7 linked regions of the Danio rerio genome follow. The protein of the gene in region 5 interacts with the protein of the main gene of each other region in a pairwise test. Links are inferred from orthologs where the notes say so. Each region holds a gene or a part of one and is shown on either strand. Other genes may lie near its edges.

Region 1 (3,995 bases), on a different chromosome or scaffold from region 5:
GATCACGTGCTTATGATTACTTGCAGCTGGTCCCGCATTATACAATTTATGATTTACCAATTAGACGATTCCTAAGCCAGAATAAATACCCTAAGTTATATATCACAACCATCTTCGTTTTGAAGAATCCCCCCTTCCACCCCCCTCTCCTCCACCTTTCACAGATGGGTGGCACGGTGGCCCAGTGGTTGGCACAGTTGCCTCACATCAGGAACGTCACTGGTTCTAGTTCTTACAAAGCCAGCCAACGTTTCTGTGCAGAGTTTACACGTTCTCCCCAAGCTCACCTGGGTTTCCCCTGGGTTCCCCGGTTTCCTCCCACCGTCCAAAAACATGCAACTTAAGTCAACTGCCCAATCCAAATAGACGTTTTATAGACATAGACATGCTCCTAATAAGTAAAAAGCTCAAACTCCTTTCTCGCCTTGCAAACAGGAGGGAGTCCCAGGCTCGAGGATCTTATGATGGTACTTGATAGAAAATTAAAGTCTTCTTTCACAAACCGAAAAAAATGCAAGATTTGGGAGAAAAATTAGGCTGTGAATAGAGGGAGAGCATTGTTCATTATGATTGTGAGCTCTATGTAAACTAATAGTAATCTTGTGTCATCTCTTTTGTACTGTTATACATGCAAGATGCCGCCGTAAGTATTTAGTTAGAACGTAGTGTTAAGCTTAACCTAAGTTCGGTGGTGCAACACTAAAATATTTAGTAATGTGTAAGTTGTAACTTAGTGCCCTATTAAGTCACAACTGGGCTATGTTTTAACTTGTGCACTGCTGGTGCAACCGGCCCCTGTTGAACACAAAAGAAGCTTTTTTAAATAATCCTGGTTGATTGGACTTATTGACCTCCATAGTATATATTTCTTACAACAGAGGTCAGTGGGTTTCCTCAACAAGCATTTTTCAAAACATCTTCTTTGGCATCCAACAAAAGAAAGAAACTCAATTAGGTCTGAAAGCACATGAGGTCAAGTAAATGATGAGGTAGTTTTCATTTTGGGGTAAACTATCCCATTTAGAGGGTAAATAAATGATGACAGAATCATCATTTTGTATTTTAATACAAATAAATAATTATGAATGCTGCCTAAAACTTTATGTTTGTGCTTGCATTACAAATGTAATCTTGTTTTTATGCTTAATACACACTTACTAGTCCACTAACAAATGTGATAATCCTGTGTGTAGAAAAACTCCTTTTGTTGACCAACAGATGGATCTCAATGCCAGGTGTAAACAGGACCTCAGAGGCCCTTAATATGTTCCACAGATGTGTTTTGATCATTTGAAGTGCATGAGTACCGTTGAAATGAGAATCTGGTTTGTCCGAGTACTGCTCAAGAACGTAAAGAGCACTTAAAAGTGTCTAGAGGCGATGAGATGCTGAATGATGAGTATTGCCGGGGATACTCTTTTCTTCTGTCAGTCCGTCTTCCTCCTGGCCATGCTGGATCTCAGCATCAGTGTGCACTCTTGAGGAACCTCAGGGTTGTCAATCATGCGCTGCCAGAGCCGCTGCTCCTCCCCGTAGGCATCGTTCCAGTCCACTTCCTTCCCATAACTCAGACCTGCAGGCCACAAACAGGTCAAAGCAGAGCTGCTTCACTCTCAGACACGCATGGTGGAGGAAATTCAACAGATGGTGAAAGAAATTCTGTCATATATTAGCTACCTGGGTGACACAATTTTTGATAGCAAAGAGACAATTTTTGTCATTGATAGCAAAAAGGCCATGAAACATTTTTACAATTGAAACGTTTTGTCTTCAAAAAACTAAATATGCACGAAATGTTGGTTTTATTTGGAAGTAATGGCTTTCAAAACACATTTAGTACAAGAGTGAATGATTTATTGGCTGGTATGTTTGTGTTTGTGTGTGTTAAACTCACCAAGTCTCCTATTACTTGATCAAAACAGTAAAAATGTGAACTAATAATTTAAAATAAAAGTTTTCTTTTATAATACATTTTAAAATGTGATTAATTTATGTGATAGCAAAGCTGGATTTTCATTATCATCAATCCCGTTGTCAGCATCACATGATTCTCCAGAAATCATTTGCACATATGTTGATTTGGGGGTCAACATTTTTGATTATTATCAGTGTGAAAGTATTTGATAAATACAATAAAAACAGTTTTGTTGTGAAATATTACATAAATTTAGAATGAAATAAAATGCCTTTTTTATTGCTGTGATTTAAAGCTGAATTTGCAACTGTCAATATTCCATTGGACAGAAAGAGCTTAACTCTCCTTTTCTTCTTTGCAGAGTTGTCAGTTTTCAAAGCTGTGGTATTCTTTTTGAGTCACCCTGTATAATATAACAGTTGTGCTTCTTCACAATGTAAGCTTTCATCTTCTTTTAAATAGTTACTTATCCATAAAGAACATATAACATTCTTCCATAGTAGCAGTAAAAACATTAATACTCCATACATTGCTTGTACTTCAAAGAAATTGTATTATTTTTAATTTTCCATTGATCGCATCCTGAAAATGATTAATACATTTTATATATTTCTACAAAAATTTGAAAGAAAGAAATTCAACACTGGTAATAACAAGAATCAGAGGAAAAAAACAACAATAAAAATATAAATAAATTACATAAAATGGTAATTAAAATTCAATATGACAAATTTATAATATTTTTGAACAATTAAATGCAGCCAAAATTTCAACTGGCTATATATATATTCTTAAAGGAAAGAAGAAGAATTGTATACACACATGCAGTAAATTTCTATATAAATAGCCAAGTTTCCCTGTTTTAAAATAATTCTCCTTATTCTCCTCAGATCATATATGAAGGCAAATAATACAGCTTGCAATAGTACTGTTATGTCTGAATTATCACTAAACGCACATATCACTGTCCACTTTTAAAATGTCTTGCAGTTTAGTAGAAGTTTTTTTTTCACGCAAGAAGAGGTTAAAAGTCCTAATAGAGGTCAACTATATTAAGAAATCTTAATGGTACAGTACAAAAAGAAACAGATAGAAGGTAAATGGAAATGGAAACCATTGCTAATTATAAACATTTTAAAACATCGTCATCCATGAGGAACAAACCACTTGATCATGAGCGAGTGAAGATATGAATAAAACATCTTGAAATTAGTTTAGCATGAATACAGAATGTGTTGCACGCAGTAATGCTTCATGCATCATTGATGACAGATTAAGCAGACGTTTAGTAAGATCATTAGAGGGGAAATTTGATTCAAACACATTTGGGACCAAATGATTCTATTCATGTGAGTCACAGAACATTTCACAGCAAATCAAAGCTGGACAATTCTGGCATATTAATGTGGGAAATATATATCCAGAGGGGAAGTCAAATTATGGCAAAGAAGTGGATGAAATGGACTTTGGTAGACTTTAGTAAATAAAGTTCCCTCTTTCTCCTCAAAAGTTTTTTTGTTATTATTTTTAATTAAAGTATTTAAACATTTTCGTATGACTTACTTTTAAGTGTTGTTATATTAATTAATATTTAAGTTTTTATAATTGAGGAACTGTAACATAGGTGAAATAAAAATGAAATATTAAATCAAAAACATACAAATTTAAAATCTGAAATATGTTTGCAAAATAAATAAAAAATAAGCACAAAAAAGCATATTCAAACTGTACTAAATTTATAAACTAAACTAAACTAAAGTTTTAAAAATAATTTAACATGAAATTTGTCAAAATATTTTGGTGTTTGGCTTTTGGAGCTGATAAATACTTTTTTCGTGTTTTTGCATGATTAAATTAATTAATTAACTTTTAAATTAATAATTTAATTAATAATTTAATAATAAATGTGTGGGTAATACTGCATCGAAATTAGTGTTGTTTCTTATTATTCACATATTCAAAAAATATATTTGCTTGTCTTTAGTATATGGAAGGTAATAGATTGTTATTTATCATTTAAAAGATTACAATCCCTAACAAACAAATATTGATAGTTATCATCAACTAAAAGAAATGTAAA
Region 2 (4,725 bases), on a different chromosome or scaffold from region 5:
GAAATGGAAAAAAATATTAATATTCAAAAAGGGGTGTACTCAATCATGCTGCACACTGTATTCTATGTAATCTATTTAAAATTATTTATTTAATTTACTAAAAATGAAAACAGGGACCTTTAACCTTTGTATTTACATGTTTTGCTATTATGGTAACTTTTAAGAGCCATTACAAAAATCATTATAGTTGTACAGCATTGTATATATGTACTGAGTAATGATTAAAACATGACTGCTTTTTTAAATTTTAATATATATATATATATATATATATATATATATATATATATATATATATATATATATATTTGGTGAATAATAAAAATTCTGTAACAACTTTAGAGTAACGGTTTTATAACTTTTTAAAAACATTTTCATTTGATGGTGGCAATGTTTTTTTTCTCTGGATTAAACTTTATAAATAAATGAATTAAAATTACACAATGTATAAATAAAATATATTCTCTTTAATAGTTTATTTTAAGAATAAAATGTGATTTTATAACAGGAACCTGTCTATTAACAAGATTGGTAATGATGGTTACACTGTATAGCAGTTAAAATGTACATAGATATTGGTACAAGGAAACAATACATTTTAAACTTCAAGTGAAGCTGAAGAATCATCTGATGGGGTGAAACTTTGTTATAGTTAGGAATTGTTAATGCAAACATCTATAAATGGTTGAAGTACAGTTGGTTTTATATTCGCACATTCTGACTTTCTCCTTAATAATATAATTTCAAACAAGTATTCTTTACAAATTCTAAACAGTGAAATCATATTAGCAGCCAATGACTATCAAAGTACAACATTGTTTACAGTCAAATAAACAATACTAATGTTGTTTTGAAGTCACATTTGCATGTGATATCCAACAGAAAAAAGTTTTTTTAATAATATAGATAGCTTGTCACAAGCTGTCTCTAGGTATGGGCTGGTATAAGATTCTAATGGTGTGATAAACTTGGATAAAAATATCACGGTTTCTCTGTATTGTGATTACTGTGATTTACAATATTTTTGAGCAATAAACATGTCAGGTTAAACAATTCAAACGAATCATTGACTTCTGATGCCTTCATTTGTTCATTGTTCATTCATAGTTTCGAAAACACAGATTTCTTTACAACTTGAAAAGGGTTAGGAGATTTTGGAGATCTTTTCTGCTGGAAACTTTTGTCCTAAAAATTACAACAAAACATAAAAAAATAAAATAAATAAATATATATATTTTTTTTTTAATTCTTAAAATTGTAGCAGAAAATGTTGGCAGGTTTAAAACATTGACTTTTCCAAACCATGGTATACCTTGAAAACGGTTATCATCCCATGTCTAGCTATCACTGAAAAATGTGCAAATAAAAAGGCAACTTTCCCTCAATCTATAAATGTTCAATTTCGCTGTTAAATACCACATACTTTCTCCAACCTTGCTCAAAACCTACAACAATATGCTAAACATTCACTCAAGGGTGGAAGAAGAGCTTCTTCTTACCTGTCTGTATGAAATTCTTCTGGATAAAGCTCCTTAAAGCCACTGTGGCCCCACCTGAGAGAACACAACATGTTATGCCTTTTGTTACAATGTTCACAGTACTCAAATAGATTAGTTTAACTCGAATGGTTTGTAGTTTCCTCAAGCAGTTTGAGCTGCCTTAATCTATTGGCTTTTACAGTACTCAGTCGGTTTGAGTTCACTTAATTTATTGGGTTTTACTGCGCTGAAATTGCGGCGTTTACTCAAGTGGATTAAGTTCACAGTACTCATTAGGATTAGTTTTTGTACTTAAATGGATTGTTGCAATCGGATTTCTCAAATGGTTTGAGTTACCTTAACTTATTGGGTTTTACAGTGTACAAAACAGTTCAAACATGACGAGCACAACACCAACCAGCACTACCTGTCAGGATCATTGGCTTCAAACTCATACAGTTTGCGTGTCCAGTATCGTGCCTCCCTCTCATCTCTCTCAGATACATCGTCTCTCCGCTCACCCAGCCGGTCTCTCGTTGACCCTTCTGAGTCGTCCAAATAGCGGTCACAATGCATGCTGCCCCTAAATGACCATTACACATTACAACTACTGAGAAACACACACCGTGAGCACAAATAAAAGAAATGTTGAGCCGCATGTGATCCACCTGTGCTTTGGGAAATGAGTGGACGAGGTATGTCGTTCAAGATCCCTCAACTTCCACATCTCAGACTCCTCTTGAATCTGCAGTTTTAAGTTGAATCAGATGACTTTCAGATTACATAATTATGAAATATTGTGTTTAAATTGTCACATACCTTGTTATGTGCATCTGTGTGTCTGATGACATTTCGGAGTAGAAGTTTACCTAAAGACACCTTTGACATGGATACACCTAGGAAAAAGGGTTTAAACACGAAGTGTATGTAAGGCACAGCTTATTGAAATACTTGTACAGAATATACATACATACATATATATATATATATATATATATATACATATATATATATATATATATATATATATATATATATATATATATATACATATATATATACATATATATATATATATATATATATATATATATATATATATATATATATATATATGTATACACACACACACACACACACACAAACACACTTCCTTTTTTCTATATATAGTACAAATATATATATATATATATATATATATATATATATATATATATATATATATATATATATCTGTGTGTGTGTGTCTGTGTGTGTGTGTATTCTGTTCAAGCATTTCAATAAGCAGCAGTGCCTGTGAATCCAAACAAACACAGGCTGATCTTATTGGTTAATTTACCAATACAAAACCCAAAGATAGTGTACTAAAATAAACATTAGTCTTTGCATGCTTTGTCCAATAAATATAACTGTTAGGAGCTTTACTGACATTAGCATCACTTCCTCTAACGTTTTCCTGCTGGCCAAGAACCCTTAGCTCGAAAGATTCATTTCGTTAAACGTTTAAGTTAGCCCTAAAATTGTAACGACCAAGCAAAATGGTGTTTTTTAAAAGGAGTAACGTGAGAACTGACCTTTCGCTTATTCAATATATTTTTAAATGTAGTGAGAGACGTGAACGTGGCACCAAAACAACAAACAGAACGTATCAACTTCCTGCACTACATCCGCAGGTTACTTTAAAATAAAAGTCTCAAAACGTATTTCACAATAAAAGGACTATTTATCAGATTAATCAAGGAATGTTTTTAAGAAAACTTGTCTGAAAACAAACATTTTGTATAAAATTCAGAATAGGCCCATAATTTTACACACTAGCGCACTCAAACACAGGCTTTTCTTCAACTAGGGCCACTGACGTTTATTAAAAAAAACTTGTTCAAAAGTCACCTACAGTCTCATAAGTTTAGTTAATATGTCTAGGCTTAAGATCTGTAAGAGGAAAAACTTAGATTACAAGAGAAATTGTTAATATTTCACATTAATTCCAACTATTTGAACATATGTCATTTCCATCACATCTCAAAACACAGCGGTTATTTAACAATTGAATAACTCAGTCAATACCACTCAAGAACTGATCAATTTTATAACTAATTTTACAGTATTTTTACAGTCAGTGTACAATATTTATTCATTCATTCATTTATTCATTTTCTTTTCAGCTTAGTCCATTTATTAATCTGGGGTCGCCACAGCAGAATGAACCACCAACTTATCCAGCATATGTTTTTACGCAAAGGATGCTCTTCCAGCTGCAACCCTTCACTGGAAGACACCCATACACACCTATTCACACACATGGACACTTTTGGCTCACCTAATTCACCTATAGCGACTGTGGAGGAAGCCGGAGGACTTGGAGGAAACTCACGCAAACACGGGGAGAACAATCTCCAAACAGAAACTGACCCAGCCGAGGCTTGAACCAGAGACCTTTTTACTGTCAACAGCGCTACCCACTGCCCCACCGCACTGCCCTCAACATACATTTTGTCAATAAATTAAATTTACTTCCCCAGTGACCAAATGCTGAATTATTGTCACATTCTGAAATGTAATATTAGTTTAGGTAAAAACTCATTAGAAAATAAATAAATAAATAAATAAATAAATAAATAAATTTTTTATATTAAATAGAATTGTGTAATAATATCAATTGTGGATATTTTTTAATATGTGATGAGAAATAATAAAATATATTTAAAAAATGGTAATAGAAATAATAGGGTGTTGTGGAAATGACAATGACAGGAGACACAATAATATCTTGCAACATTTGGTCACTGGGGCTCAGGGATAAGGCTTATGATTATTTTAGGGCCAGAAAAGTCAACCCTTCACAACCCTTCTACTGTCCCTATATATTATACCATATTACCATTATACTCTTTGATTATTTTTTTCTTTTATTGCCTTGGGTTGCATCTTAAAACAGACCATCAGTTTTTATAAAAATAATTTTCAACCCCAATTCCAATATTACACAAATCTACTCTTGCAATCCATATAATTTGTACTTTGTAACCGTAAATGTAATTTGCATTTGTCAAAATGGTTGTCAAAATGAAAGATTGCTTATACCAATAAGCTTTAAATTGTTAATCAGCATTTAATGTATGGAAAATACTCTAACTTAAAATTTGTAGCTTTTTAATAAAACATACATGAAGGTATAGGGCTGGGGGATGTGGCAAAAATGCAATCAAAATTAACTATTTTCCAAATTGAACGATAATGATATACA
Region 3 (4,452 bases), on a different chromosome or scaffold from region 5:
AAAACGCACGCGCACACACACACATAAACACACATAAACACACACACACACACACACACACACACACACACACACACACACACACACACGAGCATGCGCTGCAGCATACGCTCATGTCTGAGCTCCAGGTGACTGCGGGTGCTTTAAACACAAAACCTCAGAGAGCAGTGCACGTCGAACAGTTTATCAAGAATGTACCGCTGAATCGTGTCTCACTATAGTTGTTAAAGGTGATATTTAATTAATCTTGTCTCAGGTCACAGCGTCAGTACACTGCTTCAATCTTTCGCTTTCACGCTTGTACTTAGTAATTTTAGCGAAAACCTCAGAGACAGATCACTCAGCCTATTCATGCCAGAGTCCTGCGGAAAAAGTGATTGACAGGTGGTGATTTGTGTGTAATTTTATTTATTTGTGATTTGGTTATGAGTAAAATAAAGACCATGTGGGTCAGGTAGTTGAAACGGTAGGCTAATAACTAATAATTAATTCTTTATGAATTAAATAATTATTCATAAATAATGAATTCACCGCAGCCTACGACGACAATCCCATCATTCATCCTGATGTTTCACATTAGACACTGTAAGATGTCAAATTGGTCGACATCGCCCAACCCTATTTTCACTGTCCCTTTATTGTGTGATATGACGAAACAGTGATCTTAAACAGAAAAGTATTTTCAATTCAAATGATTGCAGGTTTGGCTAGAAAACAGCATTGCATAGATCTCAACTTAACTGCTTATTCACATCTTAATGACAAAATGTTTGTGGAAATAAAAACCTTTTTTGGCTTTGGCATGTGCGGCTTCCTGTTTCTCCAGCTGTGTCTCTCTTTCTTTCCATCTCCTGATCTGTTCTTCTCTCATTTTAAAGAAGAGAACTTGTTTCTGTTCCTCGTTCAGCTCAGCCAGGAGATCCGGCTCAATGTACATGTCGATCAGTATCTGCTGCAGCATCTTCCCGTGTCACTGACAAACACCACCTTGACAGAACTCAAATATCTTCAGTCAGCAGAGGGGTAATAGGGGTGTCTCTTGTTCTTTGAGAGAGGTGGACTGTAAAAACACAACCATTTCAAACTCTTTTATGTTCTTCCTCAGACGAAACGTTATAGAAAATAAATTACGATACTTTACACAAACAAAGAAAAAAATACATCATAAACAAAACATTTCAACCACATAAAGCTAAAAAAAAATCTCAAAGAGAGAGAAAAAAGTTGGAGATAGATTTAGTTTGGGTTCTACCAATAAGGATTAAGCATTTATCTAGATTAAGATTTTGAATTATTTTGGATTGTTACCTGATAAGACTAATACATTTACATTTACAAATGAGGACAAGGAAGCAATTTACACAACTATAAGTGCAACAATGAATAAGTGCTGTAGGCAAGTTTCAGGAATGTAAAGTGTAAGAAGCAAAACATTAGTATTTTTTTTTCTGTAATACAGTTAGCGATGGAGCCAGAGAGGCAATTGCAGATAAGGAAGGAAAGTAATGGATGAAAAAAAAAAAAAAAAACAATAGATGAAAAACACAAAATAGCAACAGGAAATGTTGAGAATTTTTTTTACCACTTCATTTAGCCTAATTTCTTGCAAAAAATGCTTTTTAGCAACTCATTTCGTTTGGTATACTTTGTATCTTTATTTTAATGTATTTTTGCTGGTCAGTTATCTACAAAATAAACTAAATAAATCAATACATTTTAGGTAAAGTGGCATTTTTTTTTTAATAATAAAGGAATTATGAATTCAATTCAAGTAGGCCTATTATAACATTTTAAAATATAATATTTGACAATTTTCTTTATTTAATAGATTTGAGTTATGAATTACAGCATTACAATACTACTTGGTATCACAATACTTTAGCTGGTATAGTATCGTAACATGAATTAATGGTATCGCGACAACCCTAGTTTGTAGACTACCTAAAGGCATCACTTTAGTTTTACTGAAATTAATCCTATAACCTGATAGGCACTAAAATCTTTAATAACATTAATAAAATTATTTAAAGATATTTCTGGTTTTGATAAGAAAACAAAACAAAAATGAGACGAATCTCATGTACTACATTAAAAATCATTGATTAGCTTTAACATCTGCTTCATTTTAATTTCCATTGTTGGAACCAAATGATGAACACAGAATTGTTATACATATCAATTAGAAATCAGTATTGTGAGATGTAAAAAACTGAACAAGTAAAAAGTCAGATAAAATATAACTGAAGGCATAAACAGAATTCTGACTCCTTTTTGTGGGGAAATTTGGATATTTAAGCTCAGAAATGCTGGAAACAAAAGTCACAATTACACTTAAGTCACAATGTAAAAACATAGGAATACAGTGTAGTCTAACTGTTAAACGGATGTCTGGTAATCTCGAGACAAATTTATCATATTTGAACAAACCCAGAAGTTTTACATACAATATAAGAATGTAAACAAGCAACAGGAAGCTACACAAAACAGTCAATCAATCAATGCCAGATCAAATCCAGCACTAATGACTCACACACGCAGAGAGAGAGAGAGAGAGAGAGAGAGAGAGAGAGAGAGAGAGAGAGAGAGAGAGAGAGAGAGAGAGAGAGAGAGGTAAACTTACCGCTTTAATCAAGTCTTGACACACTCATTACTCGCATGGGGATTTGAGAAACACTTCAGTGGCTTACCTAAAAACAATCCCAAAAAAACGCCGACTATAACCTTTCATTCCTTTGAGAACTACACCTAACATTAGGAGAAACCTGTACAGAAAGGTAATTCTCGAGTGAAGTCAGTGGTAATGTTGAACACACCCTTAAAACTCAAACTCAGTTCCCTCCTACACTTGGTTCTTCCTCCGGCTCCGTGTGAAAGACACATTCAGCTGCATGAAAGGTGCTTTATGTGCCGCTCTTATATTTGTTTGCTTTATTAGACATGCGCGCAGTTCCTCTTAAATGCCGTCAGCCACACAATTCTAACTCATTTACTATAGCAATATAGTATATTTTGGTATATTTTGGATACATATTTAGTTACACATAGCGTAGCTAGCTTTAGCTTACATCCGTCCAGCAGATTCTTTTAAACCTCACAGTGCAGGTGAAAGGCGAAAAGTGCAGAGACTCAGCGTGGAATGTGTTGTTCAATGACCTCTGACACGGATAGGAAACAATTTTAAAGATTGAGTGATTTTAAGCAATTTTTCAAAGTTAAATTAAACGTACATAAACAGAGCGTTATACATTATGCACTGTTCATAATACAATATTGCATAATTAAATAACACAAATATTGATTAGTTGTGACGAACGACCCGCACTAGATAGAGCACTTGTCCATAAAAAAACACTGAAATAGCATATGGGTTGACAATATCTTAATGTTACCTTTCAGATTGGCATGCATACATTGTTTTGTTTTATGTTGAATTTAATGTACATAAACAGCGTGATAAAATAGTTTCATAATACCTCTGATTTGCATATTTTAAAAATCTTGATTTGAGCAATATCAGTGGTGACGAACAACCCACACTAGGTGGCGCACTTGTCATAAACCACCACCGAAATCGCACATGGCTGAAATTTCTTGATTTTCTTTCAGAGGCCTATGCATACATTTTATATATTAATCATGTAGTTTCAGTATGCTGTATCCACTGAAAAATAATAATGTAATGTAATATTTTAACAGTGTGTAGTGCAATAAGATTGTCATTGTGAGATTTTTTGTGTTTAATAAATCAGTTTCCTTGGCAGATGGACTGAATCATTATAAGGACACAAACATATACGTAATTAATGAAAATAAACAGCACATAGTTCGAACAATTAACTCTTATGAACTGCTTAGTTTCAGTGAATCATGTAGCATCCAATTTTCTGTTGCCTGAACTAAAATGGTCCTGTGGTCCACTACAGTGAACATGCTGTAAAATTAAAAATAAAAACAAAACGTAAAAAATGTAAAAACTCTAAATTGTAGATTTTTTTTAACCCAAAGGAGGTAGGAAATCACACATAAAAAAAGAAAAAAACATTCTTTGGGGCGACGCAGTGGCACAGTAGGTAGTGCTGTCGCCTCACAGCAAGAAGGTCGCTGGTTTGAGCCTCGGCTCAGTTGGCGTTTCTGTGTGGAGTTTGCAGGTTCTCCCTGCGTTCGCGTAGGTTTTCCCCACAGTCCAAAGACATGCGGTACAGGTGAATTAGTTAAACTAAATTGTCCATAGTGTATAAGTGTGTGTGTGAATGAGTGTGTGTGTGGATGTTTCCCAGAGATTGGTTGCGGCTGGAAGGGCATCCACTGCGAAAAACTTGCTGGATAAGTTGGCGGTTCATTCCGCTGTGGTGACCCTGGATTAATAAAGGGACTGAGCCGACAAAAAAATGAATGAATGAATGAACATTCTTTGGGTCTGAGGAGGATACAATCATTATTTATTTAGAAGCT
Region 4 (4,460 bases), on a different chromosome or scaffold from region 5:
GAATAAAAATTTCACAGGAGGGTGAATAATTTTGCCTTCAGCTGTTCATGCATCCAAATATTGCTTGGCTTTACATGAAATCTGCATCTTTTATCAATGCAAACATGACGTGATGTGCAAATCGCATAGTGATTTACGAGCATGTGAATTACCTGTTGAATGCTGGTGTTTCTGTCAGATGTAAAGCAGCAGCTGATTGTTGAGTTAGTTTTCTTTGCTCTGAGCTGGATGAGTTTTTTTCTGGCCATAATATACACAAAAAATGTATATATAGTTAAAGTAAGAATTATTAGCCATCCTGTTTAATTTTTTAAATAACTTAATTTTTAATTAACGCAGGGACACATTTCTAATCATGCTAGTGTTAATAACTCATCTCTAATAACTGATTTATTTTCTCTTTGTCATGATGACAGCAAATAATGTTAGACTGGATATTCTTCAAGACACTTCTATACAGCTTAAAGTGGCATGTAAAGGCTTCACTAGGGTAATTAGGGTAAAGTTAGGGTAATTAGGCAAGTCATTGTATAACAGTGGTTTGTTCTGGAGACAATCCAACACTAATATTGCTGAAGGGGGTTAATAATATTGACCATAAAATGCTTTTTAAAAATCAGGGTCCCCACACTTTTTGAATGTACTTGAATTCCAAATGTACGGATTCAAGGCATGTAACAAACGCAAAAACAAACACAGGTTTTTTAATTTGGCAGAATTACAATTGAAATAAAATAGGTTTTTGGTGTTATTTGAACAATTATACTGTGCTGCTGTCAAAAACAGAATTAAAAAAAGTAAAATTAATCATTAATAATTTCATTTAAAGGTTAATTAATTAGCATTCATTTATTTTCTTTTCGGCGTAGTCACTTTACTAATCAGGTATTGCCACTGCAGAATGAACCACCAACTTATCCAGCATATGTTTTACACAGTGAATGTCCTTCCAGCTGCAACCCATCAATGGGACACACCCATACACACTATTTCACACACACACACACACACTACGGCCAATTTAGTTCACCCAATTCCCCTATAGCGCATGTGTTTGGACTGTGGGGGAAACTGGAGCACCCGGAGGAAACCCACAACAACACGGGGAGAACATGCAAACTCCACACAGAAACACCAACTGACCCAGCCGGAAATCAAACCAGCGACCTTCTTGTTGTAAGGCAACATTTAAATGTTACATTATACATTTAAATCTTGTACAACAACACTAACAAATAATGCGCATTTGATAAATATTTCAGAAACCGCATTGAATACTACATGTTTTATTAAAGTTCTTTCAACATGACTTTAAATTGGCACAGTGTTTAAAAATGACTAAGAAGAGTCTAAATTACTAGTAAGGACCTTCATGGCACTGCGTATGCTGGGGTATGAGTTACAGAGGTGCTTGATATTATAATTAACGGCGCTTTAAAAAGTCCTTAAAACTGCTGTTTACCAAAGAGACGAAACAAATAATACTACGAAAATTTCCTTAATCCAGTTAATATCATTAATTCATTTTCTTTTCGGCTTAGTCCCATAAACCGCCAACTTATCCAGCATGTGTTTTACGCAGTGGATGCCCTTCCAGCCGCAACCCAACACTGGGAAACACCCATACACACTCATTCACACTTATACACTATGGCCAATTTAGCTCATCAATTCCCCTATAGCGCATGTGGTGAAATCCGGAGCACCCGGAGGAAACCCACACCAACACAGGCAGAACATGCAAACTCCACACAGAAACACCAACTGACCCAGCCGAGGCTCGAACCAGCGACCTTCTTGCTGTGAGGCGATTGTGCTACCCACTGCGCCACCGTGACGCCCTGGTAAATATCGCTTGAGAAAAATCCTTTTGCCCTCCACTGTATATATATTATGGCCATAAAAAAAATTCCAGTTTGGAACAGAGAAAACTAACTCATCTGACAGAAACACCAGCATTGAACAGGTAATTCACATGCTCGTAAATCACTATGCGGTTTGCACATCACGTCATGTTTGCATTGATAAAAGATGCAGATTTCATGTAAAGCCAAGCAATGTTTGGATGCATGAACAGCTGAAGGCAGAATTATTCGCCCTCCTGTAAGATTGTTATTCAGTTTAAATGATGTTTGAAATAAAAAAAATGTTTGGATTGCATTTCTTAACTCCTAATGTTGTAGTTAACACACTCAATGCACATCCCATAATTTCTAAAATATCAGCCTCTACCTAATGGTAGATATGCCAGTTTATAGTACTTAATATATATGAAAAATCATAAAATATAAAGTGCAATATGATATAATGTTCAAAATAAAACATTTGTGAGTACTAAATCCTCTTAAAGTATGCCATAAAATATTTCAGATTCTCAATGAACATGTTTTCTTGCTTCTTCTTTCACAATAAAACCAAAATCGAGTGTAGTGGTGCAACAGGACTATGTTTGTTTGATTTTTTTGTGTGTAAACCAACAATGCTGTGTGTGTCATTATTTAAAACAGCCATTACTGAAATTAATTAAAACAGCCAGAACACGCTCAGCTGCTTGGTAGAGAGGCAGTCAAAGGGTTAACAGACCAAGCAAATGTTCACAATATTTCCTATAATATAGTGTTTTCCTCTGGAGAAAGTGTGCTTTCTTTTAGTTCGGCTGAAATAAAAGCAGTTAGATGATTTTAATATAATTTTAGGGAAATAATTGTAACCCTCTTTAGTAATATATACTTTGCTTGTCTGCAGAACAAACCACTGTTGCACAATAACTACCCTAATGAACATAATTAACCTAGTTAAGCCTTTAAATGTCTCTTTAAATCTTAATACTAGAATCTTGAAGAATATCTAGTCAAATATTGTGCTGTCATCATGATGAAAACAAAAGAAATTAGTAAGAAATCAATTAGTAATCCATATGTTGGCAAAATCTCTCCATCAAACAACCATTAAATTAAATTTATCTCCAATCAATTTATTTTAAATATATTTATATACAACATTTTTTAAAAGAATTCAAATTTCATATGAGAACTGTTCACATTTTGAAGTCATATAACTGTCTTTGCATGTGATATGTAATGCTCTGAGCAGATCATATGCAGATTTGCATGTGTGCATTGGTAATTGCAGTGTGCATGTGTGTGTGTGTGTGTGTGTGTCTTACCTGTCGTCTCCTGCTCGTCTCTCCTCTCTCTACGCGCCTCCAGCTTCACACTCCGCATTTGAAGTGACTTAAGAAAGAGAACAGGAACAATCACTTTGTTCTCATTTTTCAGATGAGTACCTTCGCAGAGAAGGAAGGAAGGGAGGGAGAGGAAGTCAACAAGCCTGTGCTTTCCTGACCCAAAATAAGGAAACACTAGATACACATCTCCATTCCTCTTCGAAACACTGAAGCTGACGCTGGAGAGACCAGATCAGACACTGAACGTATGATTTCTGATGATGACCTTTGACCTTTACTCATAACTAGGCCCAGATGGAATCTGAGCGCGTGCAGAAATCTGAAATCAACTCTAAATCTGTTTATTTACTTATGAAAATGTGTGTAAATAATTACAGACGTGGACTAAATTGTTTTCTTGTGTTTTATCTAGTTCAAAATATCAACAAATTCTTAAATCAAGAGGCATTTTCTGGACAAGTAAAAAATATTGCCTTGTTTTCAGAAATAAAGAGTCAAAATTAAGTGAGTTTTTCTAAACAATATGTGTATATATTAGCGCTGTCAAAATTAGTGCAATTAATTTTAAATAATTAACGTGTTAAAAAAATTTACGCCTTTAACGCAGTTCCAGGGTTTTTTTTTTACTTCCTGTTGTGGTGGACGTGAGTTTAACATGCAAGAAATGTGGATAAGACCAAGGAAGCACTTTTTGAAGGCAAGTTCCAGTATAAAACAATTAGTTGCATCACAGGTTATCCAGAGTTTCATGCAATTTCGGGTGTTTCATTTTTAACTTTCGACTTGGCGACAGAAAGAAAATCCACCGCATTTCGTGACTCGGTGTTTCTTTAAGGAAATAAAATCGCTGCTTAGGCTCAGGGCCGGAGCAAGCTGAACTGCCGCTCTAGGCAGAGGACGATCACGCCGCCCTCAACCCCAATGTGAAAACGAAAGTGACCGGTAATGAAAATGAAGTGAGGTGTCGCGGCCCTCTATTCCAGCGCACTATGCACAGATATAACTGAGGACGCGCGGGTGCTGAGGGAGGGAGTGAGGGAGGTGTCGCAGACACTGCGCTCTCAATTCTGCCGCCCTATGCGCGGATATAAATGAGGACATGCAGGTGCTGATGGAGGTGTCGCTTACGCCGGCTTCTCTATTCTGTCGTCTATGCGCGAATATATCTGAGGGGGGAGGTGTCGCGGACATAACTGAGGACGCAGGTGGTAAGGGAGGTGTCGCGGATGCCGCCCTCTCTATACTGCCGCTCTAGGCGGCCGCCTAGGTCGCC
Region 5 (3,414 bases):
GTGTTTTTGGAAAATTGCAGGTACAATCTAAAACACATCGAGTTAGATTTTTGTACCAATAAATATCTGTGTAAATTGTTTAGATTTTTCAATTTTTCCCTGTTCAGACCTAGTATTAGCAAGCATGTTTAGTGTCGTCTGCCTGATTAGATTGACAACAACCAAATTGTAAACTACATTATTTTTGTCCATGTTTACATTAGATATTTTGATCTCTTTTTGTAAATCTGAGCCACACTAAATACAGGAGTGAACAGAATATGACTTGCTTTAGATTTGTCCACTTTCAACCCATTTACACCACATACTAAAACATGCTGTCAATCTGATCATGAAGACACTAAATAAAACACCATGTGTTCACTTCAGCCCTGTTTACACCCAGTATTAGGATGTTTTCATCAACCTGATTGCAAATCAAAGCATTATCTACAGCAGTGTTTCTCAACCATGTTCCTGGAGGATCACCAGCACTGGATGTTTTGGATGTCTCCTTTGTCACACTCATCACACGCCTTTCAGACTCTGCTAATGTGCTGACGATCTAAATCAGGTGTTTGGTTAAGGTAACTAAATGGGCAGCACTGGTGGTTCCCCAGGAACATGGTTGAGAAACAGTCTTATCATTTATTTAGCTTACAACTTAACTTCTAATTACTGAAAAATAATGAGTCAACTACAAGTCAAACATGGTCTTTAGCTTTATTAAAAATGTAATACTTAAGCATTTTAATAAAACAAAACACACACACCATTCTTTAGTGATATAGACGATCACTGCAAAAAGGACTTAAATGCTAATTGTATCAAAACAAAGTTCACATTTTTAAAAGGTAATCCCATTACTTTTTCAGTGGATAAGTAATTTAGCTACTTTTGAGCTCATTTTACCCAGCACTGCTTACAATGTTTGTTTTCCCGCAGTTTTTCGCAGTTCAGACGCCGGACTCAATTCTCCAGCAGGACGTTCAGCATCACGCTGGCTTTCACATCGAGGATCTGGCATCCTGTACGGTCATACGACATGTTTTAAAGGGCACATTTGTGCTCACGTTAATCACTAACGCACCTTCAAACAGTCTGATCATGGAGAAACTTCAAGGACACACAGAGGACGGAGACTGAACACACATCTTTAAAAAAAAAAAAAGACTGTTTCTTATTAATATATATGAGAGGTTTTATGACAAACTGCTGCTGTCGGCACAGATTTATTTATAAAATACAAACACTGAGAATCAAGTAGTTTTTAAATAAATAGTCAGGTCTAAAACCACACGGTGCTTTACAAACATCAGCCTTTGAGAGAACGGATTCTTGGTAAAACGTCGTCTAGAGTTTGGACGTCTGAAAGAGAGAAACGTTTATGAATTTATTATTATTTTTATCAGTTCGAGACGCACAATGCGTCTGCACTGTGATCAATTCAGCTCATTTTGTATGTGGTCTGATGTTTTGAATGAATAAAGTTTATTTCTCACCCAGAGTTTGCAGAAGCTCCAGCATGAACGAGTGGAAAGCGGGGAAAAACTCCTCATGTTCCTTCAGCTTCAGGATGATGCTGTCAAAAACAACAACAACACGGTTATGTTTTGCCAAAAGATGAGGGTGAATTCATTCAGATTCAGATTCAGAAGCAAGTGCACTTCCATAGATTACATTGCTGTAGTGTTTTTGACCCTGATGTTGAAATAGCTGTCACTTTATGTAAAATGGCTGTTTCTTTTGAATCTTAATGTAATATTTTATTTCATGATGTGTAATTGCTTACAAAAACATAACTTAATTACTTTAATCTTCAAAAGCAACAACCATTTTTACAGCAAATTCAACATCTGGGTCAATTACACCACAGCAAAATGCAATCTATTCTATAGAAATATTTCATCAGTTTATACAAGTTGGCACATTTTATCATTTAAGGTTAATATATAGTAACTGGTAAAATACCAACATAAATACCCAAATAAATCCATTACTAATAGTTTATGTAATTTAACCCAAATAACAGTAGTTCATGTTTACTCATAGTCATTAACTAATGTTAACAAGCACAACTTTCACTAGTGCACTATTATTTTTAAAGTGTTGCCCATTTTATATTACAGTTCATTAACATACTATGTATTCGAAAACTGTCATGTTCTCAACTTTAATACTGTAGTATGAAAAATGAATACAGTATTATATAGGGTCCTTCATTAGCAGTAAACAATATTGGCTTTTTTTTTTTATTCTGACATCAAATGTAAAACATTTTTAGCAATTATTTTAAACATTAAATGCATAAAGTAAAGCAACAAAACATTAGAAAATAGAAATTATATATATATATATATATATATATATATATATATATATATATATATATATATATATATAACAAAATTTGTATATTTTAAGTGTATATATATATATATATATAGAGAGAGAGAGAGAGAGAGAGAGAAAACCTCTATTTAGGAACAATATATATATAATAAAAATAGTATGATAAAGAATCATATTTTTCATAATTATATATATCTGTAAATTAACTAGTGCTAGGCAAAGATTAATCACATCCAAAATAAAGTTTTGTTTTGACATAATGTGTATTTTATATATATATGCGTGATACAAACACATAGAAAAACTCAACTTTTTGTCACATAGATCAGTGTTTTTCAACTGGTGGGTTGCAGAGTGTGTGATAAAAAAAAAAAGTTTAATTTAACTTATTTTGCTTATATCAGACTTTTATTTTGAAATGCGCGTGCGACAACTGTACTGTTTGACATGCGAAATTTCATTTAATTATGGCAACAATGTCAAAGCGCAAGTACAACCCTGAATATGTAAAGTGTGGATTTACATATATTGACGACAAAAAAGGCTTAAAGCCTCAGTGCGTTATTTGTAGTGAGGTGATCTCACAAGAGAGCATGAAACCTTCTAAATTAAAATGACATTTAGAAACCAAACATCCTAGTTGCAAGGACAAACCTGTGAACTATTTCCAAAGACGACTCCAATGGCTGAGGGAATCACAAAAGTGCCGAACATCTTCATGTTCAAAATAAGTACAGGCACTCCGCTTATCTTACTGTGTAGCTCACCGTGTAGCAAAGGCCAAGAAAGCCCACACAAAAGCAGAAGAGCAAATAACTGGTGATTATTATAAAAATGGTTATGATTATTTTAATATGTTTACTTTAATTTGCTGTTTTTCTGTTCAACCGGATCATGTGTTAATGTTTTACTAACAGTTCAGTTTAGTTAATAGTAACTAAACTTTTCCTTACCCAAACCACTGTTTACAGTATTTGACGTTTTTACTCTGAAATATTTCTATAATTTGATACGTTTTGATTCATCAGTCATTACTTGTGTGTTAACAAATAAATACAAATGAATTATATTTCCTAAAATTAT
Region 6 (3,995 bases), on a different chromosome or scaffold from region 5:
AGTCATTTATTAGATAAGTGAAGTTTATTCATAAACTAATTTCGAGAGGAACACGTGATTATGATTGAACACTGCTGGTTCTGCATTAGCATGTATGATCCACCAATCAGGCCATTCCTAATCCACTATAAAGAGCCAGGGTTTTTCACTACAGCCACCTTCGGTTTGACGAACCCCCCTTTCACCCCTACCTCTTCACCTTTCCCTTTATAGGGTGGCACGGTGGCCCAGTGGTTAGCACTGTTGCCTCACAGCAAGAATGTCACCGGTTGTAGTCTTTTAAAAGGGCAGCGGTCGTTTATGTGCGTAGTTTGCATGCTCTTCCTGTGCTCGTGTGGATTTTCCCCGGGTTCTCCGGTTTCCTCCCACATTCTAAAAACATGCACAACAAGTGAATTGATCAATCTAAGGGTGCTTGCACATCTGTAGTTCGCTTCATTTGGTCTGCACCAAGGGCAATAAATGATACATTGTTGCATTTTCTGCCGTCGTTTTCTGTGTGTTTTCACACCACGCTGCTGGCTTTGGTCCGAACCAGTTGGAACAAACCAAAATGCAGTCATCTGATAAAATCCACTTTCTCATTGGCCAGATGTTGTTGAACATATTTCCTAAACTGCGTATCGATTGGTCAGAATTCATGTGCGGGAAAAAGCCAATGAACTCCCACAAGTAAACAAAACCAGCAGACACAAAATGTAGCTTTTTAATGGAGGGACGACTGCGCTGACTGATTGTATCCCTGCTTTAGACAAACTATACATTTTAAGAATGAAGCGCGGCCGCGGCTGGAAAACAGTGTTTTAATGCATCGCACGTCACTTCAGGAGGAGGCGTGAATTAATTTAGCTAAACTGCGACATGCTCATCTTGCGGAAATATTACCAACGATCCATCAGGTAATGTTTTCCCTCTCTCTCTCTTTCTTGGTAAAGCGCTGTCAACAAATATTTTTCCTCTATATCCCATAATGCACAGCGCATCGGCCTACGGCAGCTGACTTAGTCCGAAAGGCGCAGTACTTTTTGCGGTTGGACCTGTTTTAGTACGAATCAAATTCTCACCACAAATGAACCGCTCCAGGGTTCATTTGAAAGCATACCAAGAACACCTCTTCAAGCAGGTCTCAGTACGCTTATTTGGTCCGCTTTTGGTGCGCACTCGAGTACGATTGCTGCATTCTCACCTGCCCAAACGAACCGCACCAAAAGGGAAAACGAACTCTAGTGCGATTCAATCAAACTAAATAAGGCAGGTGTGAAAGCACCCTAAATTTAGCACTAAAGTCAATCTCTCATCCTGCAGCAATTCTCTTCATAGCATTCATTTCAGTCATCAGCTCTTATCAAGGAAGGAGTTGTCGAGATCTACCTGAGCTCAAGGCTCCCCTCTCGCCCTGCAAACGGGAGGGAGCCCAGGGCTCAAGGACCTTTTGAGCTCAGGGCTCTCTCCCGGGACAGCATGCCAAACTTGCTTATAATCAATCATCAGCTAAGTGTGAACTCTTGAAAGAACAGATTGATGCAGCTTCTCCTATCGCAGCAAATTCCGTTTTTACTGTTGATACTTGGCGCCAGTTAATCAGGAAGTGTTTTGTTTGCTTTGACTCGTTAGAAGGTAATGCTGCTTTATTCGCATGACTTTAATGTGATAATCCAGTTTTGCACATAAAGTTCATTCGCATTTTTGGATGGAAACAGCTATTGACTTGCCTAATTAACCCAACTTTACCCTAATTAACCTAGTTAAGCCTTTAAATGTCACTTTAAGCTGAATACTAGCATCTTGAAGAATATCAAGTCAAGTATTATGTGCTGTCATCATGGCAAAGACAAAAGAAATCAGTTATAAGAAATGAGTTAAAACTATTATAATTAGAAATGTGCTGAAAACATCTTCTCAGTAAAACAGAAATTGGTGAATGAAATATACAGGGGGGCGAATAATACTGACTTCAACCATGTATCTGAGAAAAACAAAGTATAGTAATGTCAGTTATTCCAATATTGTGTAACTTCACTCACTATGGCGGCACTTTGCCCTTGACGGCGCAGGCTGGTGTTTTGTCCTGCAGGTTCTGTAAGGACTGAGATCTCCTCATGCTGGTCTTCGCCGCAGCTCGAGCGTTATGACTCACAAAGTCCACTGTGTGTCCTCTCACATGCATCTGGACACACATCAACACACACACAGACCTCTGTTACGCAACACTGTCTGCAGGAGTGTGAATGAAGTGTTTGTGAGTGTAAGTGTGTGCTGAGTTAGTGTGTGTGTGTGTGTGTGTGTGTGTGTGTGTGTGTGTGTGTGTGTGTGTGTGTGTTTCTGACCTCAGAGTCTGAGTCTCCAGCAGCGGTCGGTCCACTGTCTGAGCGCCGCAGCACCGGTCGACCCCCGGCTCCACACACTGAATGAGCCTTCAGGAAGTTCTGATATTCAGGCTTCTTTAAGGGGCTTGTTTCCTGCACACACAAACACACACACACACACACACACACACACACTCTTACAGCTATCTTATTTTCATAGACATAAGGATGTTTCTACTGTACAGACTGTATATTCTCTCCTCCTGCCCTTAAACCAGCCCTCATTGGAAACAATCTGCATCTATGAGCCGTTTTATTCATATAGGGACCAAAAATGTCCCCACAAAGTCAATTTGTACTGGTATTACTATAATAATAATAATAATAATACATTTTATTTATAACGCGCTTATCTAAAACCCAAAGCGCTCACACACACACACACACACACACACACACACACACACAAAAACAAACATGATCACATGTAAAAACACAGTCAATCATACATTTGCACACACACACATACACACACTCAAACACACACACTTAAACAAAAGAACATTATCACAGATGTGCCCTCACCACACACACATACAAAAACAAACACATATAAAAACACATTCACACACACACACATTTAAACACATACACATGCACAAAAACACTCACACACACATAATGCTTGTGCAAATGCAAATGCTTGTGTGTCATTATAGTGGCAGATTTAAGACTTATATCCTATGCTAATGAGGAAGAGATGGTCACTAGTGGGCGGGGCTTTCCCACTCTGATGACATGTACAAAGAGAAAATGTCAATCAAAGTGTTTCTGTTTTTATCGAGAGGGATTATAAACAATAAAATGAATAAATTTTTACCATTAGAAGCTGCTTATATTCATACACTGCTGACACACAACTGTGTTTAAACCTCTTATGAAAGTAAGTTTTACATAATAGGTCTCCTTTAAACTTCTAATTCATTATAAAGTCCCTATACATGTTTCTTTATTTAACCAGATAAAAACCCATTGAGATCAAGATCTCATTTACAAGGGTGACCTGGCCAAGAGGTCTGCATCACATGATTTATATAAAAAAAAGAAAAAAATTTAATAATATTAATAATAAATAGAAAATTAATATAATATAAAAATACAGTTCAGTTTTCCAGCTTTACCACATTTCAGTATATTAAAAACACATGCATTGAGAAATGGACTGTTGTTGTTTGTTAAAAAGAATAGAGTGAAACGATGTCATTGGGATGAGCTCAGATATCTTTACTTCAGACTGAAGAGTATTTTAGGATGAGTGGGCGGCATGACTAAAGGCTCGCTTTCCTATTTCAGTTCGAACCCGGGGAACAATCAAATTATAAGATTCACTTGAGCGTAGGGCATGCTTTCTTTTAGACTTATGGAGAAGGGAACATAGGTATGAAGGCACCAGTCCCAGAAGAGCCTTGTAGACCAGAGTCATCCAGTGGGTGTACCTTCTTACACACAGAGAAGGCCACTCAGCTTTAGCGTACAATTCACGATGATGAGTAAGTCTTTGACAGCCTGTAACAAACCTTAGCGCACTATGGAGTTTAAAGGCTGAAGACATTTGTTTGAAGCATGCATATATAAAACATCACCATAGTCAATAAATGGTAAAAATGTTGCAGACACCAAATGTTTACG
Region 7 (3,995 bases), on a different chromosome or scaffold from region 5:
CTCAGAAGGCAAAATGCAGTGAGAGTGCAGGGTGTGGGGGGGACAGGAGAGGGGAAACAAGCATGCTTCGGCATGATTTCAAGGCAACTGTGCCTAGTGTGCCACGCTTAAGGCTCCTAAACACCAGGACGCTTTTCATTTGCGTTAATCTTCATCGTTTTATGAGACGTTTTCCTGCATTCAAACCCAAGTGATTTTTCACTGGCGTCAAGCAGAAGACTATGCAAAATCACTCCTTGACGTCTGATGGCGCTACACAACTTTAAGCTTCTGACACCCGCTTAAACGGAAGAAGAGGAGGAGAGGAAGTTCACACGCTTGTTAAAGTTACTGGTGACTCGGACAAGCATGGATGGTTTAAGCGGCAGCTCTAGCGATGAAGAAATTATTATTATTCACAAGAGCAGTAAGAAGCTAAACTTTCATATCACCTCTGGGCATCTTCTTTAATGTGCTTCCTATTGACAGTTTTGCGCTTGAGCGCCTCCAAGTGCTGTTTACTGTAACTTCAGCAGCTCCGTGCACATGAGCAAAAGTGCCAATCTGATTGGTAAAGAAGGTTTTGACGCAGCGCTTTCACATCCTGAATAAAAAAAAATAAAATAAAAAAATACTTGTCAATCTGTAATTAAAATAACATGTTGCTTTAGTTTTGTTACACAACACACTTTTTTTTCATTCTTTTGGCCATAAAGAAATGTTGCATGTAATTGTACCATCATTAGATTTCAGAAGTGATTAATGCACCCTTTGTTTTTGTGAACAGAACTCCCATCTCCAGAAGCCCTATGAGATAAACCTGATGGAGGAGCTGACCCTGAAGGGGGTTACTCAGTATTATGCCTATGTGACTGAAAGGCAGAAAGTCCATTGCCTTAATACTCTATTCTCTAGGGTAAAAGCACTTTGCATTCTCATCTGATCCATTACTACTGACCATTTAAGAACAGGCAGATCTGATCTTTTTAATGTTTTCGCTTCAGCTCCAAATCAATCAGTCTATAATCTTCTGCAATTCGTCCCAGCGAGTGGAACTCCTGGCTAAAAAGATCTCACAGCTTGGGTACTCCTGTTTCTACATTCATGCCAAGATGAGGCAGGTGCGTATAAAGAGGGCATGTGGTGTGACTGCACTGCTGTTGGCACAATTCTGAAACGGAGCAAGTGTTTGTGATTTCTGAAATGTGTATGGAATTTCAAATGATTTGGGGCTTTTGTGTCTTGTGATTTTTGCCAACATGTTTCTATTTATTTAAATTTTTTAGGAACACAGAAACCGCGTGTTCCATGATTTCAGAAACGGCTTATGTCGAAATCTCGTCTGCACTGGTAAGGACCATTGAATATCAGTGTTTGCTTAATATCATAGTTATTAAATCATAGTTTAAGCATGCATTTTCTTTGGCTTGTTTGTATGAGTTTTTTTGAATCATGTAAACTTTTATTAGATCTCTTCACGAGAGGAATTGATATTCAAGCTGTGAATGTGGTGATCAACTTCGATTTTCCCAAACTCGGGGAGACGTACCTTCATCGCATTGGCAGATCTGGTGAGTAGGGTTTAGTTTCGATCTCTCCCCCCTAGGTCCTGTTTACTTTCACAAGTAGACGGCAGTAAATGTATTTACAAAAAATACTTTTTTTAATTAAATTTTTTTTTTTTTTTTTAAGAGCGGTAGTCAAACCTGTTTGAGCAGATTGGTTTCTGCAAGTAGATGCTAGATGCATTCTGACTGCTGAGACCTGCGTTTGTTTTTGGCGTATGATTTGGATCATATTTTATATTTAAAGTTTGTGTGCTTCCACCCAGACAGCAATAGTTTTGACATGTTTATTGTTATTGAAAAGTTCTTAAAAAAAAAAAAAAAAAAAACACTCTCAACTGATCATATGCCTTTATGCTCAGATCATAAATATATGATGTTGCCTAAACACTTGAAAGGTAGTTTGCAACCAAAATCTCTACATTAACACCTTTTAATAACCTGCTGAATGCAAACCAATCAGGCTTCAAATGTAGACATTCCACTGAGACTGCACTACTGTCACTGAAGCCCTGCGGATTGCCAAAGCCGGTGCTAAATCCTCTCTTCTGCTTATACTGGACTGGTCTGCTGCTTTTGAAATGATAATGATTCATCAGATTCTGCTGTCCACCCTCTCATCAATGAGCATCGCTGGAATCCCACTCTGCTGGTTGTAGTCTCATCTCATCAGCAGATCATTCAGAGTTACCTGGAGAGGAGAGACATCTAAGGTTCATCAGGTGGTCACTTGAGTACCTCAGGGATCTGTTCTTGGTCCAGTTCCATTTTCTATTTACACCATTACTAGGAACCATCATCCAATCACATGGTTTTCTCATTGCTATGCCAATGAAACCAAGCTCTTACTTTCCTTTCTTCCTGATGACCCAACGATAGCTGCAAGGATCTCGCACTGCCTAGAGGATATCTTGGCTTGGATGAAAGACCATCACCACCAAATTCTTGTCTTCCCTGCCACTCCACACATTCAATAAAAATTTTCAATCCAACTGGAATAATCTGTGGATTAACCTGTGTAATTTAGCAAAGATTCTTGGGGTGATCCTGGATGATTAGCTGCCCTTCAAAGAGTACCTCCTCCTGCTCCTGAAGGCCTGCATCCCCTCCAGGAGCCTTAGGTTAGTGAGTGAGCACTGCCTTGTGGTACCATAGCAGAGAGGCTATAAGTCAATTTTCAAAACCTTTTCATTCACTGTTCCTCACTGGTGTGCTCTTCCCATTCCCACACAGACTGCTGATTCACTACTATTTAAGCAACAACTAGAAATCAATCTCTCAATCTCCTTCGGGAGAGAAGAGGGGGTTCTGTTTTTGTTCACACCTCACCACAAGACATTCTTAAAAATCGTATCAATTCTGAGTGCAACTCTCGCAGGTGAGTGGGCTTAAAAAAACCATGTGTAGAAAACACAAGATTCTCGTTCCCTGGTAATATTTCAATATAACCACTCAAGGCATATGGTCTGTTTGAGGAATGTTTATTTGTTTTTATTTATTGTTGATCCATCTGCCTATGGCAGATATGGGTGCTCAGATTTCACCTTTTAAATATCTTAATTTCCGTTCCACTAATTTTCCATATCGAATATTATCCCAACAGTGACTGAAGCCACAAAAAATAAATTATGGCACATTTTTGGTAGCTGAAGATTCGGTACTTCTCTAATGTCCACTTTTTTTTTTTTTTTTTTTAGATTACTGTTGTTGCACATTTCTGCTTGGCTCTTAGTTTGCTAAAGAGTAAAACTTCCAGATTTTATCATTGTTTATCACAAACTTTATCACAATTCGATATCATTCATCAGCCAAGCCCTAATCTCCGTTGAATACTTTTCTGAAAGTGATGTATAGAGTGAGAAGGTAATTGGTGTCAACCAATCCAAACACAAAATGAAAACGTATCATAAATGACCGCCTGGTTGTATTAATAAACACTAATGTTAATATGAGATGTCAACTGGACCTGAGAACTTAAGTTCACATCTTATATCTTGCTGTTTGACTGGCTAGGTTTTTGAAGAAGAATCTGTGTAAATGATAATTGCCTTTTTGTCCTTCTCAGGCCGATTTGGACACTTGGGTCTTGCCATTAACTTGATCACTTATGATGACCGCTTTAACCTGAAAGGTATTGAAGAACAGCTGGGTACTGAAATCAAGCCCATTCCCAGCAGTATTGACAAGAGTCTATATGTGGCCGAGTACCACAGTGAGAGCGGAGAGGAGGTTAAACTGTGAGCAGGAGAGGTGAGTTCAGAGCTAGGATGAGTCAGCATTTGTCATGCATACATGTTTGATATTAACTTCTTTTTTTTTTTTTCTCCCCCCCCACTCCTTCCAGATCACCAATCCTTTGTCCCCTATCCCACCCTTTTCGTTCCCTACTGTGTCTAGGGAATAGGGGACTTTTTTTTTCTTTTTTTTCCCCCCTCCTTTCAACTATATCTT

What was found.
Region 1: the proteins of cep70 (region 5) and sytl5 interact in binary tests that used the Homo sapiens proteins (3 or more experiments, as listed by UniProt). The two-hybrid records come from large-scale screens. The link is inferred for Danio rerio from reciprocal best matches to the Homo sapiens genes CEP70 and SYTL5.
Region 2: the proteins of cep70 (region 5) and nkapd1 interact in binary tests that used the Homo sapiens proteins (3 or more experiments, as listed by UniProt). The two-hybrid records come from large-scale screens. The link is inferred for Danio rerio from reciprocal best matches to the Homo sapiens genes CEP70 and NKAPD1.
Region 3: the proteins of cep70 (region 5) and sh2d4a interact in binary tests that used the Homo sapiens proteins (3 or more experiments, as listed by UniProt). The link is inferred for Danio rerio from reciprocal best matches to the Homo sapiens genes CEP70 and SH2D4A.
Region 4: the proteins of cep70 (region 5) and znf366 interact in binary tests that used the Homo sapiens proteins (3 or more experiments, as listed by UniProt). The link is inferred for Danio rerio from reciprocal best matches to the Homo sapiens genes CEP70 and ZNF366.
Region 6: the proteins of cep70 (region 5) and enkd1 interact in binary tests that used the Homo sapiens proteins (3 or more experiments, as listed by UniProt). The link is inferred for Danio rerio from reciprocal best matches to the Homo sapiens genes CEP70 and ENKD1.
Region 7: the proteins of cep70 (region 5) and ddx6 interact in a two-hybrid assay, tested with the Homo sapiens proteins (2 studies listed by BioGRID and IntAct). The two-hybrid records come from large-scale screens. The link is inferred for Danio rerio from reciprocal best matches to the Homo sapiens genes CEP70 and DDX6.

Annotation. Positions count from the first base shown.
Region 1 is NC_133184.1:31,996,920-32,000,914, forward strand, and holds part of sytl5 (synaptotagmin-like protein 5), read right to left. Parts: intron 1,574-3,995; coding exon 1,428-1,573; 3' UTR 1-1,427. UniProt on the Homo sapiens protein: May act as Rab effector protein and play a role in vesicle trafficking. Binds phospholipids.
Region 2 is NC_133190.1:24,174,946-24,179,670, reverse strand, and holds the start of nkapd1 (uncharacterized protein NKAPD1), read right to left. Parts: upstream 3,137-4,725; 5' UTR 3,053-3,136; exon of another isoform or gene 2,755-3,052; coding exon of another isoform or gene 2,652-2,754; intron 2,417-2,651; coding exon of another isoform or gene 2,367-2,416; coding exon 2,298-2,366; intron 2,224-2,297; coding exon 2,147-2,223; intron 2,062-2,146; coding exon 1,906-2,061; intron 1,554-1,905; coding exon 1,500-1,553; intron 1-1,499.
Region 3 is NC_133185.1:7,483,787-7,488,238, forward strand, and holds the start of sh2d4a (SH2 domain-containing protein 4A), read right to left. Parts: upstream 3,169-4,452; 5' UTR 3,066-3,168; intron 2,891-3,065; exon of another isoform or gene 2,814-2,890; intron 2,688-2,813; 5' UTR 2,621-2,687; intron 1,061-2,620; 5' UTR 962-1,060; coding exon 787-961; intron 1-786. UniProt on the Homo sapiens protein: Inhibits estrogen-induced cell proliferation by competing with PLCG for binding to ESR1, blocking the effect of estrogen on PLCG and repressing estrogen-induced proliferation. May play a role in T-cell development and function.
Region 4 is NC_133183.1:1,328,396-1,332,855, forward strand, and holds the start of znf366 (zinc finger protein 366), read right to left. Parts: upstream 3,200-4,460; 5' UTR 3,167-3,199; intron 1-3,166. UniProt on the Homo sapiens protein: Has transcriptional repression activity. Acts as a corepressor of ESR1; the function seems to involve CTBP1 and histone deacetylases.
Region 5 is NC_133197.1:12,295,138-12,298,551, forward strand, and holds the end of cep70 (centrosomal protein of 70 kDa), read right to left. Parts: intron 1,562-3,414; coding exon 1,482-1,561; exon of another isoform or gene 1,348-1,481; coding exon 1,295-1,347; 3' UTR 1,126-1,294; coding exon of another isoform or gene 925-1,125; 3' UTR 689-924; downstream 1-688. Other genes in the region: mmadhca (metabolism of cobalamin associated Da), read left to right, coding at 925-1,125.
Region 6 is NC_133183.1:3,674,701-3,678,695, reverse strand, and holds part of enkd1 (enkurin domain-containing protein 1), read right to left. Parts: intron 2,460-3,995; coding exon 2,328-2,459; intron 2,168-2,327; coding exon 2,025-2,167; intron 1-2,024. UniProt on the Homo sapiens protein: Microtubule-binding protein which regulates microtubule organization and stability. Promotes the stability of astral microtubules and facilitates the proper orientation of the mitotic spindle.
Region 7 is NC_133193.1:46,828,513-46,832,507, reverse strand, and holds part of ddx6 (probable ATP-dependent RNA helicase DDX6), read left to right. Parts: intron 1-766; coding exon 767-895; intron 896-983; coding exon 984-1,100; intron 1,101-1,265; coding exon 1,266-1,329; intron 1,330-1,448; coding exon 1,449-1,550; intron 1,551-3,609; coding exon 3,610-3,785; 3' UTR 3,786-3,794; intron 3,795-3,888; 3' UTR 3,889-3,995.